Tamandua tetradactyla: one gene and its partner. The protein of the gene in region 2 purifies or fractionates together with the protein of the main gene of each other region. This does not show direct contact. Links are inferred from orthologs where the notes say so. Each region holds a gene or a part of one and is shown on either strand. Other genes may lie near its edges.

Region 1 (7,712 bases), on a different chromosome or scaffold from region 2:
TACACCCATTTTTCAGTTTTCAAGAACAGAATTGCTTTCAGAAGGACCGCGCCGAGCCCCATGTGATACGGTTACGTTTGTTTATTAAATCCGCAACTGAAAGAACATATTTTTGTGCAAGGGGGTGAAACTCATGGCTGTGGGGCGGCAAGAAAGAGCGAGGATGGGAGCCTGGCCGGCGGGGGGCAGCGGCCCGGCGGGAGACTCTGTCTTGTCGGGGTCGCGGCGCCGGGCGCGGACACGCGACTGGGTGACGAGAGCAGGACGCCTTCCACCATCACTCAAGGGAATCGCAGCTGCTTAAGGGAAAAGCAGAGTTACCGGGTGGGCTTCGCCTTCTTAAATAACAGCTGTCCGAGACCCTGTCCTCGGTACTTCGGGCGGCCGCGCAAGGCGGGTAGGGCCGCTTCCTTCTGCAGACCCTTCAGGGAACAGGCTAACGCAAACCAGGCGGCGCCTCCAAGCTCTGGTTTCCAGGCTCCAGCAAACGCGAAGCCCTTCCGGGCCTTCCCAGTGCTCCAGGTTATGCTTTCTGGCAAGGTCTCGATTGTCCGAGTCTGGGAGGCCCGGCCTGTGTACTTCTTGTCCAGGGTCAGATGGTGGCACGGCTGGGCCAGACGCCCCTTGACCGAGGGGACGACCCTCCCAGACCCTGTCCACGGCATCCGAGAAGCCAGCGTCAGCCCCGCAGGCCGGAGCCGGCGCGCTGGGCACGGGCATTTCCCCCCTGTTCGATGGTGCAGAGGCCCGCGCTCGTTCACCGCGCGCCTCCCTCGCCTCACGGGTGGCGCTTCGCCCATGGAGTCGTCCAGGCAGCATGTTCTCCGTGCTCACTCTACAGCCGTGCTCACTCTACAGCCCACCGGTCCCGCACTGGCGCCGAGAGCGAGGAATCGTGCTGCATTGTCCTCGTTACCGCCCTTTCCCCCCTCCCCGAAAACAGGAAGCGGAGCCGGGGAGCAGAGGGCCAGGGTGGGAGTCACGGAGAGTTTCCCCGAGGTCGTCAGGTCCCTGGACGCCCCTCTTCCCGCAGCCACTCCCGGTCACGGCGCCACCTACAGGCGTCGGATTTGACCGCACTGCTTTGCCGAGATTGAGAAAGGCCTCTCTCTCTCTCTCTTTCTCTTTCTCTTTTCCAGTTCTCCCCTCCACCCTCAATTCTCCCCTGGGCTCCAAATCCCTCTGCTTTCTCCATCAGTCTCCAAAGCAGCCGGAGAGTCAGACCGTTCGGTATTCATAGAAACGTCTTGCAGGATCCCCGTCGCGGGCCCCCCAGGGGCTACTCAGGGCCACCTGCTGTGGGCTGGAAATCCCGAGGCCAAGGAGTCTCCGCGCAGCAGCTGGGGGCAGCTTAGGCCCACCCTTCTCCAACTCATCCTCCACTTATGGAGGGTCCACAACGTCCCAAGCGCTCTCATAAGTGATCTGCCCCCATCCTCACAATAACCTTGCGAAGGAGGTATTAAGACCCTTCCGGCTTTACAGCAGAGAAAACAGAGACAGAGTAAATAAGAGCACATAGTATGCCCAGATTCAATGAGATCACCCGATTAATTAAGAGTACAGCTGTGGGATCTGAACCCCCACCGTGTCCCCAAACACCGTGGCTGTCATTTCCCTAGGCTAGAGCAACAGCTTCAGCTGAGACGCCCAAAGGAGCCTCTTACCGCCGTGTCTGCACGGAAGGTGGAGCCCCTTCCTCCTGCATCCAATCTTAGAGATTCGACTGAGGTTACACAAAAAAAGGTTTGCCCCCTAGGCCCTCACTGCAGCCACAGGATCGACACCGTAGAGGTCGGGGCTGACCCATAGACGTAAGGAGACAGACTGATCTCCGGCTGCGTGAGCTCGGTGCTTAGCCTTCTCTGGCCCGTGCTGCCCTAGGGCCTAGAGTCGCGGAGCCCGGTGACCGCAGCAGTCGGCAGCGTCCACCCGGAGCGGCGGGAGAGGGGCATGGTGAGGACCGGGAGGACGCGGGAATGCGCTGCTCCTCCGTGGGATGTGTTCTCTGATTGCCGGGACATGTCCGTCTGGCCCCCTGTGCACTCCCAACTTACCAGTCCCAGATTGAAGAAATCCTGATTTATCCTTCTGGGCATCATTTCGATGTGTGCCTGTGTGTGTGTTTTTTTTCTTTTTTAAGACTACTATGGTAGGAACAAACTCGGAGGGGTCGAGGTGCAATGACATTAGACCCCATAATGAACCCAGCTAGCTGGACCCCAGTGGAACAAGTCGCGCTCCCTGTACCAGAGTTGAGGTCACAGTTGCCTTTTGTTTCCTTTCGGGTGTATCTTCAGAGTCCGTCTTGACTCTGTCGTTACCCTTGATACAGCGGGAGAAATAAATTATTTTAAAAATCACCATGATAAAGGCGAACCCTAGGAAAGTGTTAGCCAGAAGATGATAAAGCCCTGAGGTGGCTGGGGGCAGCGGGTCGCATTTAGTGGCCTGGGGGGAAACGCACAGCAGCTACTGCCTGCTCCGAATTTGATCCTCCGTTGTCTCTTGCTTGGGAGTTGTGAAGGTGACACGGGCTGGGAAAACCCAAGCCGATGCTTTCAGACAGAAACTGTGATCTGGACCCAGATTTCGCCACCCCACGTCTTGCCTGGAGTCAAAAAGCTCTGCAGCCGGGGGGGGGGGGGGGGGGGGGGGCGGGGGGGGGCTACGTGTACTGCCGCGGCAAGGGCTGGAGATTGCAGCCGCCCCCCGCACCGGGCGCCGGAGGTCCTAAGCCGCAGCTCTTCTTTCCGGCTGGGTTGGACCTTCTCCGGGGCTGGGCAGGCTCAGAAGGCCACTCGGCCCGCAGACTGTCGGTCCACCAGCCCCACCTGCGGCGTCCAGGACTCACCCCTTCCTCCTCCCGGAGCCAGCGCATGGTCCTGCCCGTCTACAATCACCCCCACCGCGAGCATCAAGGGAACTGGCCGCCTACCTCTCCCCGCAACAGTGCGGCATTGTGAGACAGTCTTCTGTGTCCCGGCCGCTGGGGACACAGAGTATGACCACTTTTCCAGGAACATGGCTGGGGGGCAGTTCTGAGGAGATTGCTGAGAGACTCAACAATATGGTTTTTACTGAGTGCACAGAGGCTAAGGAAGAGAAATGTAAAAATGGAATGAATGTAATCTCTCAAAAGCATCTAAACTCTTTTCTAAGCCAGGAAGGATAAAGCACTGTACATTTTTGCAGAGCAAACAAATTTTGTCACCAGGTACAACCTGTTTTGTTTTTGTTTTTCTGACGAGAGGGCAAGAGAGAGAGAGAGGGAGGGAGGGAGGGAGGGAGGGAGAGAGAGATGCTGCCTTTATATGATTAACTTTTTTTCATTCTAATGAAACGTTTTAGAAATTAGTATAAATTAGTCAAAAGTCTTCAGGAAAACCCAAACAAGTGCTATTGGTTTTGTTCAGTACAGATATGAAACTTTAACAGAGGCAAAAAAAAAAAAACTTTTCAAAAGGTTTGTCTATGCTTCACATAATTTGGATACTTAAAAGCTACCCACGCATTTAAAAATGTCTGCAAATATGATTATCTGCATATGCTAACCACATAGATTTACTTTGTAGGGCATTTAATAATATGATTATAATTAGTAAGAGATGGGCTACTAAGAGAAATATATTTCTTGAGAAGAGAATTTAAGAATATGAAGTAGAGTTTCAAACAATATCAACACTTGTTTTATCCCAATTCTTCAAATTCTGTTATGAAAGTTCTTACATACTCAAGCATTACAGCTTGGGTTCTATTGCTGCGCTGTCTCCAGCCTATAGTTTAATGGCTGCAGTGGAGAGAGGAAAGATTGCAACCCCAGATTTCCACCAGAAATGCTGGGCCAGTGTCCTGTTTATGATATGATTCATGCAGCTGCTCTTCTTGAGACTCCCCAGTAGATACAGGGTGGGGAGAAGGAGGCTGGTTCTGTTTCCTTCAGGATGGAGATGCAAACCCTAAATGGTGGCAGACGGGTGAGCCACTTCTTTGGAAGAATAGAAAGCCACGGTCACGGTCAAGAGGGACCTTTAAAAAGTTCTCTAGCACCTTCCTGCAAGACCAGACGTGTGGATCTGATGTTCTGGCAAGCTGACAACACAAATTCCCTTAGCAGTTGTTATTGCCTGAGCGATTCCTATGCAATTCCTTTGGGATTGAGTTCTGCTCAGCCACATGGTTCCATTCTTGAAGACCCGCCTTTCAGTGGGGGGAGAAATAATGATCCCATTACTCAATGTAAAACCTTTGGTAATGCCAGTTTAACGCTAAAAATTTAAACCCCTGAAAGTCAGGAAATGGAAAAGTTAAAAATTCTTTTAGTTGTGTTAAATCACCCCCGCTGCCCCGCTGCCCGAGCTCTATAATGCATGGTACATTTACAAGTCTCCCCAGCCAGGCCGTTCCAGCAACCAGGCACTCCGCTGCTGTGTTTAAAAAAGGATCACCGTAGCGCTACTTGACTGGGCAGACTTTTCATTTGCGTTTTGAACGCTTCATGCCAGTAGATTTCAGTGGCTACTTGCTAGATGAAAGTACTTCAGTGCATGTATGCGTGAATAGTTTAAAGCTTAAAGAAGTTAAATTAATTCATAGGTAACATAAAGCCAACTCAAAACAAAATACAGATATGCCGTAAATGTTTATATACCTCGAGATCTTTGAAATACTAAATCCAGAGTTGTATGATTCAAGACCAGCTCTATACTCAAGCTCTGACATAAAATGAAACCCTTAAATGGTAACTGATGTGAGTGGGTGTGCTTTCCATATTTCTTCCCCAATTTTTATTTTAGAACTGAACTCACATAATTTTATTTTAGAACTAAACTGTATCTCCTTAGTTTTGCCAGCAGGAGAATATACGGTCAAAATACATTCTGTGCTGGAATGTCAGATGTTGCTAAGTTATCTATGCTCTATTACTTCCAGAAAGAGTCTTTCTGGAAGACTTTTGAAGTTTCCTCTTGAAAGGCTAGCCAAAAAGCATACATGAGTCTTTTGGAATCAAACTTGTCAATATTCTAACTACTAAACAAAATCACCTTAAGACTTTCTGTTTCTCAAGAGTTCCCTGTGTCAAAGGGAACAAAAAAGGTGAACAGAAAACAGAGGGTTAACCTTGTAGAGTTGTGTGTAAAATGAGCTATGGCTCTTGGCTATACTTGTACATGCTCTGTGTGTCTCATCATGGAACTGGCAAAGCAAGGAGGGTTTTTGGGATGAAGGTATTAGGTATATAGAAGGTATTATTATTCTTATTAGAGAAAATTAGTCTCAACGAGGAAAATATGCCCTTGGGGTAAAATATACATTGAGTTCAATAGAAGGAATGAATAGTATACACTTGGATGATGCTACATTAAAAACTGCCATTTTTTTTCCTAAGGGAAAATTTCTTGAGTCAATAGACATGATGAGAGCAAATCTATGTAGTCTGTACATGTCACCAAAAGTCAAGGTATACTTTCAGATGTCACAATTCTATCACCTCACTGTCAAGAAAACATCCTCAAACAAACGGATTTGTAATTCCTACTCTCTCCCTGAAGAAATTCTTCTCATGATATAGTTAAGCCTTAAAGAATTGAATCATTCTGGAAAGCAAGTATGGATGCAGTGTGAAGGAACAAAAAATGTCTCATGAACATTTCATAATGATTGGTGTTTTTAAACACAGTAAAACATAAGGAAGGGAAGCGTGTACTTGACCCAGAATATAGTACAGGGAGTGCTCAGGTGGGCGAATCTAAATGGATACTTCCCTGGTAACCAAGACTTCCTGGTAAATATAATGCTTAAATAGAGCTGATTGGAGATCATTCACAATCTAAGAATGTGAAGTTAGTGAAAATCAATATAGAAGACCCTTTTTTGGTGAATATAGTTATTTTGAGAAGGAGGAAAGTAGGCTGATCTTACTTTAAAAGGAACATACTTTTCTCCTTTGTATCACCTGCTTCCAAGTATCAGGGGAAGGCAAAATGGATGCTGGGATTAATAGGAGAGTGATACAAACTTTGGAAGTTAAATTCATTGTTGCTGCTATCACACATATTGCCCATAAAATTTGCATGTGTGGTTCTCAATAAACTTATTGAACTCATTTATAAGAAAAAGATACCAACTTACCTCTAAAGTTAACCCCCTGTGTGAGCTTTTCAGAATTGTCCCAGGTTCAAAGGGCTGAATTTAGATCCTTTATTTGCTTTTTAAGTCCCATAAAGGCACTGTGCTCACCCTAAGGACTAAATAATGGTCCAAGGCCCTTTCTCCCCCTACCCTAATGAAGCCAGCACTAACTTGAAGAAACACAGAATCCTTCTTTTGATGCATGGCATCACTTGTGCTTAGAAACTCAGAATATGAAATGGGAACACAAATTACTACAACCTATATCCAACATCTATGGGAAACTTTGGACACCAGAAGAGTTTGCTGTTCAATTAGCACCTATTCTGTGTTTGTCTTTTCCCTTAGCTCCATCTCCATACCACCTACCATTCTTTATTTAAAACACACAAAGATACACATACACAACAGACACACACACCTATCCACTCCAGATAATAAAGCAACATTTCACATGAATTTGATTTTTAAAATGTTCTTTTCCAGTTAAAATTCCATGAAATCCTTTAAATATTTTAAGGCACACCAGGAAACTAAGCATAACATTACCAAGATGAGTTCCAGTGAGGTCAAAAAGCAGTTAACTTTGTTCATATTAGATTCCCAAACCACCATAAATGCATATATGGCTGGATCTATCTTGAAGCTTAGATTTCAAACAATCCATGAAAAGTATATCCAGACCTTTACATGTTTTGGAGAAATTAGCACACAGAGAACATAAGGTCAACATTTGCCATCTGTACTTGCTCACAAATTCTTTTGCCCTTAAAAGCAGGTAGGGTGACCTTAGTTATATAGCATTAGGGGAACATGGGCTTCAGACTTTCAAAAGTGGAGCTTGGGGAGATGGAAGCTTCTCAAAGTTATCAGTGTCCTGGATAGATTCTCTCTTGAATCTGTAGATGAAGTCCATACATGTAGTCATATTAGAAACCATGATTTCTACAGAGCATGGGCTCTCTTTTCTCCTAGAGCTTTCTTGGAACATAAATTGGGTTCCTTTCTGCAGTATATTCTACTTGCCAATCTCAATTAGAACAGCAATTTTTTTTTTGTAAAGCTCATAATTTGGGGGAGATGATTATTCATCTGAACTCTCAATAGTTCTAAATACCAATTGTATTATTTTGAACAATTCACTCTTCAGGTCACACACCAAATAATGCATGGCCATTTTCTTCTTAGACTTGTGCATAGCTCAGGGAGCAAATATTCTACAATAACTGTTAAACAAAACATCTTCCAAAGAAGAACAATTCTCTTTCTAACTTTGAACCCTGGGTGTGTGCTGGAAGAGAGTGGTGGCACCAAAACATAGCCATTATCTTTTTATGATCATATTTGCAGCACACAATGTGAATTTCACTGTTTTATTTGCAGTGATGAAGGTCAGAGTGTCAAATTGCAAATCTTGGGTCCTCAATAATGTGCTGCTGTGTTTAACGTCCTCAAGTTCTTTTTCCCACTTATAGGAAGGAATAAAATAAAATGTTTTGTGGAAGTTTATATTGAAATGAGGTCAGGTAAACTAATGACTGCTTGGTATTTTATGACAAGTTTTATAACCTTGGAGTTGC
Region 2 (8,161 bases):
CACGTAATTTGAAGCAAAGTTTTATTTTTCTCTTTAAATTTTGAATTCAGGATTTGAGTAGTCTTCTTGATTTATTATCTTTGATCACATTTATCCTATTTATTTTCACAAATTTCTGTGACCCTCCCCAGCCCCCATATACAAAATTAATTTAAATACCCAAAGTTTTCAGAAGCCAAGCAGCTTAGGACCCTCACTGAAAAAGCAGCTAGTAACTAAAGCTCTGTAAGTACCATTAAAGAAAAAATTAAGAACAAAAGGAAACAGAAATGCTTTATAATTTTTGTTCTCTCCTCCTAAAAGTAAAATACCTATAGCCTCAATTCCTCTTTTAATATTGTCACTTGTGTCTCAAAAACTCAGTGAACAAAAATCATGTAGAAGCACAGGTATTCTATAGCTCTTCGCATGGAAAATATTTCATACCTCGTCAAGGGTTTTTTGTTGCTACATTTCAACTATATGAAACCACTTGTTCACAGTTAGCTTTCCGAAAACAAAACAGTTTCTAAAACAAAGACTGTTTACATCTCTTAAGAAGCCTTTGTTCCAACAAGACCCCTTTCTAAGAGGTACAACTTCTGGAAAGATTTCCCTTTTTGTGGTTATATCAATAACAAATACTCCACAAAGTCTATTTGGCATTGGAGTTTGCTAAACAAAGGAGGAGGCAAGCCCCCTCCACACAAAGGCAATCTCCAAACAGAGCACTGGTTATTTTTGTAGATTAGTTGTGCCTCTTTATCATCCTTTCCCAGGCTGTAGTATGTTGTATTCTCAATACAAAATGGTGGCCATCATGTCTGACATTCAAAGTAGGAAAAGGCAATACAATCAAACATTTTGCAAAGGCAACTATTAATATGCTAGCCAAGATGGGGAAATGGGTAGCCAAACCTAATCAAAGCAACACTATCTTTTTCAGGAAAAGGCCCTATAAAAGTTACAGAATAAGAAAAGAAGATAAAGGGTTTATCCCAGCCTTAGTATACCACAATACCAACATGGAGGACAACTCCCAGGAACCAGACTCTTCACATTTCGGCTAACCAGAACTTACTCAAGTTGCCTTAATTATGAAGAAAATCTCACTTGTGCAAATAAAACTCAAATGCTAAATGTTTGAAACATAACCTATTCTTCAAGAATTAAAAATCTTGGTTCAAACCAGTCACGCTTAGCTAACTTCTGCAGGCCTCTTTGCACTCTAAATTTAGTTCCCCAGAGCAACAAGAATCAACCCTAACCACTTGAGAAATCCATTTTTTAAACGTTTCTCCCAAATTTGTTGGCCAGTTATTTTCTAAGACATATATTTCATCTCCATTTTCAAACATGACCAAGAAAAACAAAAGTATGGTGTCCTTGTTTTAATTTCGGGGTGAGGGGCAGGGTGGGAGCGCTAAAGACTTATTCAGGAATTTCCCTCAAAACTCTTCCAAAACAGAAATGACCACATACAGAATTCCTGCAACTAAAAATGTCATTACAAAGAGCAAAGTTAATGGGAGAAAGGGATGGAAGGGGCTCTTCCTACACTTTTTTTTGGGGGGGGGCGGGGGATTGGAGCAAGGAGAAGATTCTTAAACAGCAGGAAAGGCAGTTAAACCTCCGTCCCAACGGTCTCAGCCGGTCCAACCGTCGTTTACTCCAACTCGGACTTAGACGATCCCAAAAGTTGGACACAAACAGGGGGGTAGGAGCGCACCCAGCTCGGGGTCCGAAAGGGGTGGGGAGGGAGTTGGCCGGGCCTGCCTCAGAGAACCTTGGAGCCGTTAGGGATGATCTCAGAAACACACACAACCCCCAGTCCATGGCACTTTAGACAGGGCCTGAGGAGCTGAGGTGGGAGACTACACTTCCGTTCCTGGAGCTTGGGGGGCTGGGAAATTGAGTATTAAATCTTCGGAAGTCTTCTCTGACATCTAACCCATAAATGCAGCCTCGTCCCCACTCCATCCACCCCTCACCAACACGGCCCACGCCTCCCCCCAGGGAGCCGAGCGGTTGGGCCAGAGTCGGGTGCGACAGAACACCGGACCGCAGGCGGCATCGCGGCCCACCACCGCCGGTCCTGCCCTCCACCGCCCCAAAAGTGCCCTCCAGACACTTACGCCCCCCACAACACATTCGCTCCGGGGCTGGATCCGCGGCTCCTTCCCCGCCCTCCGGCAACGCTGGACTCCCCCTCCTCAACCCCGACCCGGGGAGCACCAGTAGACTCGAGGACAAGGGGGTGGGGGGTGCCCTGGTCTGGAGGGTGGGGCGCCCAGGTGAGGGCCACTCCGGGCCGACGCCACCACCACACAAAGGACCAGGGGCTCCCGCCGCCATATTGAAAACTTTCCTCCTCGCACGACAACTCGCAACTCCCCCACCCCCACCCCATCACACACCCCCGCACCCCGGAGGAGGAGGCGAGGACCAGCCTGCGGAGCCTCGCCGAGCCCAGAGCCAGCCCTCCCTCCCCGCCCGCGCCTCCGCCTGGCTCCGGGTGGAAACACCCCCGCCACCATCCTCCGTCCCCTGCCACCACTCCACCCGCAACCGAACTCGAACCCCCGGGCCGGGTCGCACACCCGCCTGCCGGAGCCCCGCGCCGACCAGGCCCTCCCGGTGGCACCACCAAACCCCCGCTTTCCCACTCTGAAGAAGCCCCAGTCTTCCTGCCCTGCCTCAACTCCGACCCTCTGGGCCGCCCCAAACTTGACGTCCTCTCCGCCCCCCGCGCCTCAGGCCTCCCCGGCCCCACGCGTCCTCGCTCCCTCCCCCAGCCGCGAGCAGGATCCGGAGTGCTGGCGTGACTCACCGGTGGCGGCCGCACCTTACAGATCCCCGTCTGCTCGGCTATGGGCCGGATCTTGTGGATGAAAGCGAAGGGGTCCGCAAACTCTTCCCAGCTGGGTTCGAAGACAGGGCACTCGGGGGGAGGCAGGAACTCGCCCAGCGGGCCCGGGCCCCCCAGGGGTAGCGCCGGGCGCGGGCCCGGGGGCAGCGCGGTGGCCGACTCCATCGCTGGGGGTCGGGCAGGGACGAAGAGGTGGTGAACTTGAAGACCGCGGTGCGAGGTCCGTTCGGTCTGAGACTTCTGCAGACGTAGCTTAGGCAACAGCAAGTCCGACTTGTATTAGCAACGGCAGCACCTTGGGCTTTTTCAGCCTTCCTCCGACGACGTCTTGCCGCTAACCCACGCCGTGCGCCTCCGCCGCCACGGCGAGGAAAAAGAGTCCCACCCCACCCCCACACGCACCCCCCCCCCCCGCCCTGTGCCGAGCTCCCCGCCCCGCCCCCGAACCGGGCGGGGCCGGGGCCTTCCTCCTGGCGAAGGAGTTTTATTCTTACGGTTCAGCCGAGCCTATGTTTATGGACCATTTACTTATGTGCCAGAGCCCCTGCCCTCGAGGAGTTAATAATCTGGTGGAGACGATCACACACATAAATCGATTGTTTCAAACATATCAATACACCATGGTAGGTGCCGTGATAGACACTTAGTAAAACCTGGCGAGGGACAGAAAGTACTGGGAGAAAAGGATTTCCCAGGTAGAGGGAGCCGCTTGAACATAACAGAAGGGATGTGAGAAAATAATAGCCAACACTTGAGCACTTGCGTATTCTAGACACTGTTCTAAATGCTTTTCTAAATTAGTCATTTAATCTTCACAATCATCTTAGCAGGTATGTGCTCGTATTTTCATTTTACAAACAAGGAAAGAGAGGCACAGACAGTAATCTGCTCAAATTCACACAGCTAACTGGTGATGGAAATTTATCTTTTGGGAGGTTGAGGTGTTACACGGAAAAAGAGTGGTCCACAAGCATTCTGACAAGGTTGATTGTAGAGAAATAAGGCTATTGCCATAGTCCAGATGAGAAATAATGGGTCCTAAATTAATGGGTGCTATTGACAGAGACAGGAAGTCAAATGTAGGAGATAAAAATAGGATGTAGTGATAGATTGGGGACGGGGCAGTGAGTGTATACCAGCACTGACATTGTTAGATTACGTAAGCAATAAGCAATCAGTCTTGGAAGGAAGGTAATGGGTTTACTTCTGGATAGGTTGAGTTTGAGGTGTTTTTGGTACACACAGCTGGAGATGTCCCACAGGCTTAAGGGTATGTATCTGAACGGAAGATATCAGAACTGGAGAAAATAATCTAGGGTTTGTTTTTTAGTGTATGGAATAAGAGCTATTGTTTAGCTTATTGAGTCTTCACAACAATTGTATGGAGTACATAATGGTATTATCCCCATTTTACAGGCCAGTGGAGGCACAGAGATTAACTTTAAGAGATAAGAACGCTTTTGAGGCACTTTATTTGGAGTGTAGAACTTTAACACTGAAAAGACCTCTTTTATCCAGAAAGCAGCCAAAATCTTGGAAGGACTGTTCTCCAGGGCAATCAATAGTCCTTACAAGCAATCAACGGTCCTAGGCCTGCTTTCAGATCCACGTAGAGGAAAGAAGTGCCGTATCCTTCAAGAGTCTTCACTTTTATTTTTTGAGTCTCCTCTTCATTTAAACCCTTCCCAGAGTTACCTGGCCCCAAAAGAGTTTAGAGAGGTACTCTGAAAAGGAAGTCCTTATCTTAGCGCTAGAAGTTTGAGACTAAGTCTTTCTCTGCTTCCCATTGCAATGGACATTCAGCCAAGGGCAAGCTGGCAACCTATTAGAGCAAAAGAAGTCATCAGTGTAAGAGAGACAGCAAATGAAAGTAAAATGTTAGTGGCAAAATCTAGGTGGATATACGAGAATTTAGTGAAAAAACATTTTAGCTTTGCCAAATGTTTTAAACTTTTTCATTATAAAATGTTGGAGGGGGGGATCATTGTTGCTTTTTTGCCATAAACACTCCGGGGCTTCTGAGGGTCTTAATGGAGTTGATTTCCTGTCATGTGCTCCCTCCTGGCAGAGCGCTAAAACTATTTTCACCCTTAATGTTTCTATCCTACAAGCCAGGTAGGTATAACTTTGCGAAAAATACTAGACATATATGAGTTAAAAACAAGTCTAAGAAAATCTTTCCCAATTTTCCACTGTGTCCTAATATTCTCTCACGTTCCCAACTCCAGAGGTCTCCCAGTCCCGCTTCTTCCATTTCCGGTAGTGACCCTAAATGATGAGATTCTGTTGCTCGTAGATTAGGCTGCAGCCGTTGGCTCCCCATGGGCATGATGTGACGTTGGGGTTGGGGCGGGGGGGGACGGTTGCCAGGGTAGTGAGGGGAACCTAGGGACCGAGACAGCTCTCCCGCCGGGCAGAAGACGCTTCTCCTTGCCCTTTATGATGTGTGTTTACATGGGCGGAGGGATCCCTCACCAGCTGACAGCCACACCGCGGCCGGCTCTTCTTTTTTTAAAGAGCCTAGCCACAGGCGGTGATTGGCCGCGGCCAGGGCCGCACCAGCCTCCGGGGGCGGGGCCCCGGCCGCATTGTCTCGTCTAGGGCCGGCTGGAAGCCCCAGAGGCCGGACCTGGGTAACCCGGGTCCGGAGGTGCCCGAGTGGTGCTTCCAGAGGATTGGGAACGAAGCCTGGGCGGGGTCAGGTTCGGGTTCCCGGGGAAAGCAGGGCTGGAACCCAGGCGGCCGAAGCGGAACCAAGCCCAGCTCGGAGTGCCACGTCTCCAGGAACCCCCTCCTTACTCTTGGACAACACTCCGCCCCTACCCGGGCCTCCGTCCCCCAAACCACCCCCATTTTGGCAACACCAGATACTTTGGACACATTCCTAGGGGTCTCCATCCTCATCTAGTCTACCCTTCTCCCCCGCACCATCTCACCGCCTCCCCAACCCTAGCCTCGGACCGACGTCCCCAGAGCTGCGGCCTTCGACCCTAGATCCTCCCGCCGCGTGACGAGTTGCTCCCCGCTCTCCTTCCGGCCGCTGCGATGGAAGACCACGCTCCTGGGTTCCATACTGGGGGAGCGACTTCCTCCCCACGGTCCCCTGCGTACTGCTAGGAACTGGGCCCCGGGATGAGGGGGGCAGGTCCAGATCCCCAGCTGCCGGGGAGGGGGTGGCGGCCCGCGCAGCACGTAGCGCACGTGTAGGGCCCGCTCCCCACCCCCTCCGTCGCCGACTCGGCTAACTTTCCAGGGCTCGGGGTGTCGACCGCGCGCCTCCCTTCCGCCTTGACCTCCGGCCTCTGCGCCTTGCTAGTGCTGCGTCCCTTCTGGCGTCATCTTTCCCTTCCGAACCCTATTGATACACCTATCTCTTTCTCTTTTTCCCCAGTTCCCCAATGCACGGGTTTTCCTCTACTTCTTTATAATAGATCTCTGTGCCTTATCTCTCCAGCTAAATCTCTCCCCACCACCTCTGGTACAATAGAATGTTTGGTGTCTGGGGTCCTTTGTGGAAACCCACAAACCTTTGGAATTCTCAAGATGAGCTGCAGCCTTTTGGACGTCCTTTTTTATTTTGTGCACTCCAGCTACTTCTTGTTACTCTATTAAGGCACTTAGAACTCGGCATTTACCTTATTTCCACATGCCTCTCCTACCAAACTTGTAAACCGCTGGCGGAAAGAAGTAATGTTTCTAGCCCTGGCACGAGGCAGGGTAGATGCTTCACAAATATTTGTGGAAGGGGAGGGAAAATGGTCTTGATTTTCTGTGGCCCAGACTGTTGAAAATGGAGCTTTGGGCAGCCAAAAGAAGAGTCTGGCTGCCCAGGTGAAACAGGAAGGGATCTCAGGAGAGCTCACAAGAGTTTGAGGGATTTCTCCCCCCACCCCCCACTGAGTGACCACCACAACTGAACACCACCTCTGTCCTGCCGCATTCCCCTACCCTGCTCATTTCTGTCCAACCCGCAACCTCTCTTCCTATGCTATCTGCTGAACTGGTCTGTGGGACTTCTGTGCCTTCTATTCTGTCCCACTCCCAGTAGTGGGGGCTGTTCTTGGGCTTCTGCCCCTAGGAAGCTGAGTCTGTGGCTGGGGAAGTGCCTAGTAACTAAATTCTTCCTACTCCTCATCTCCCTTTCCTCTCCAGCCCAGTATCCCTTTTCTACTGATCCAGCCCAAGGGGATGCAGGGTTACTGCAACTACAGCCCTGGATTTTAATTTACTTGGGTGTGGAGCCAAAAGGGTTCGACTCTTGTCTGGGCCCTCTCCTTCTGGAGCCTCCAACAGGCACTAGCAAATGAAACATTCCCAGGGTGTTCCCAGCCCTGTCCGTGGGGGTGGGGAAAAGCAGAGTTACCCACACCAGGGCTTCAGGGTGTGTTTCCTCCCGTTCCGGTTGGGCCACTTTAGAAGCCCTGGACTCCCACAGAACAATCTTATGCTGCCAAGAACGAGAGAAACCCAGGTTACATCTTCATTCCACAGCAGCCACCACCAACTCTAACTTTGGTCCCTGGGCTGAGCAGCCCTTCCCAATATGTTTTAAGGTTTTGGATCTCTAGAATGTTTGGAATTCTCTGTATCTGGGATGAAAGTCTTCTCATAGTATGAAAACAACTGCAACAATGTCAGAACTTTACAGAGCATCCACTAAACCCAACTAAAATTCAGTGCTCAACTAAATCATGTTGAGAGTCCAGCACAGGGTTTGACACACCAAATGCTAAGGGCTAATTCCCTTTCTTCGCTCCCCTGGCCATGTGTGTGGAAGAGGGCAGGGGTATGTGAATGGCTAGAAATTCTATAGTAACATGAATAACATGGGGTCACTGGCTGGGAGTGATTCAGACTATTGGACACATCAATGCTGTGAAGTAGGTAGATATAATTGTCACCATTTTCCAGACGGAAAAGTTGAGTTTCAGAAATTTTAATTAGCCAAAGCCACACAGATAATAGCAGAGTTAGGACTAGAATCTTCATCCTAGTACCTTTGTTCTTCCTCAACCAACCAATTGACTTCCCCGAAGCTGAGGAAAGGGGCACAGAAGCCCCATCTCAAATCTCACCACCGGCTACCCCTTAACCTGGCCAAATCACCCATTCTTTCCTCCTCCAAGACCCAGTGCCTTCAAATTTTTTTGACTAATCTACAATGCATTTGTTTGCATGCCAACAAAATTTCACAAAATACCTACCCTTATACAATGGTGACTTTATATGCTAGTTGAGATGAGACTCATTAAGTTGGTTTTGTTACCTGGTTATGGACTATGACCCTCAGTTTGAAAAACACTGCTTCGAAGT

Evidence for each region.
Region 1: the proteins of KDM5B (region 2) and PAX9 purify together in Homo sapiens (affinity purification with western blotting, with the first as the bait; 3 studies listed by BioGRID). This does not show direct contact. The link is inferred for Tamandua tetradactyla from reciprocal best matches to the Homo sapiens genes KDM5B and PAX9.

The regions. Positions count from the first base shown.
Region 1 is NC_135340.1:16,928,834-16,936,545, forward strand, and holds the start of PAX9 (paired box protein Pax-9), read right to left. Parts: upstream 3,025-7,712; 5' UTR 2,939-3,024; intron 252-2,938; exon of another isoform or gene 1-251. UniProt on the Homo sapiens protein: Transcription factor required for normal development of thymus, parathyroid glands, ultimobranchial bodies, teeth, skeletal elements of skull and larynx as well as distal limbs.
Region 2 is NC_135330.1:60,011,461-60,019,621, forward strand, and holds the start of KDM5B (lysine-specific demethylase 5B), read right to left. Parts: upstream 3,210-8,161; 5' UTR 3,014-3,209; coding exon 2,810-3,013; intron 2,331-2,809; exon of another isoform or gene 2,115-2,330; intron 1-2,114. Other genes in the region: uncharacterized protein LOC143680256, read right to left, coding at 4,599-4,670, 5,810-6,160, 7,212-7,295. UniProt on the Homo sapiens protein: Histone demethylase that demethylates 'Lys-4' of histone H3, thereby playing a central role in histone code. Does not demethylate histone H3 'Lys-9' or H3 'Lys-27'. Demethylates trimethylated, dimethylated and monomethylated H3 'Lys-4'.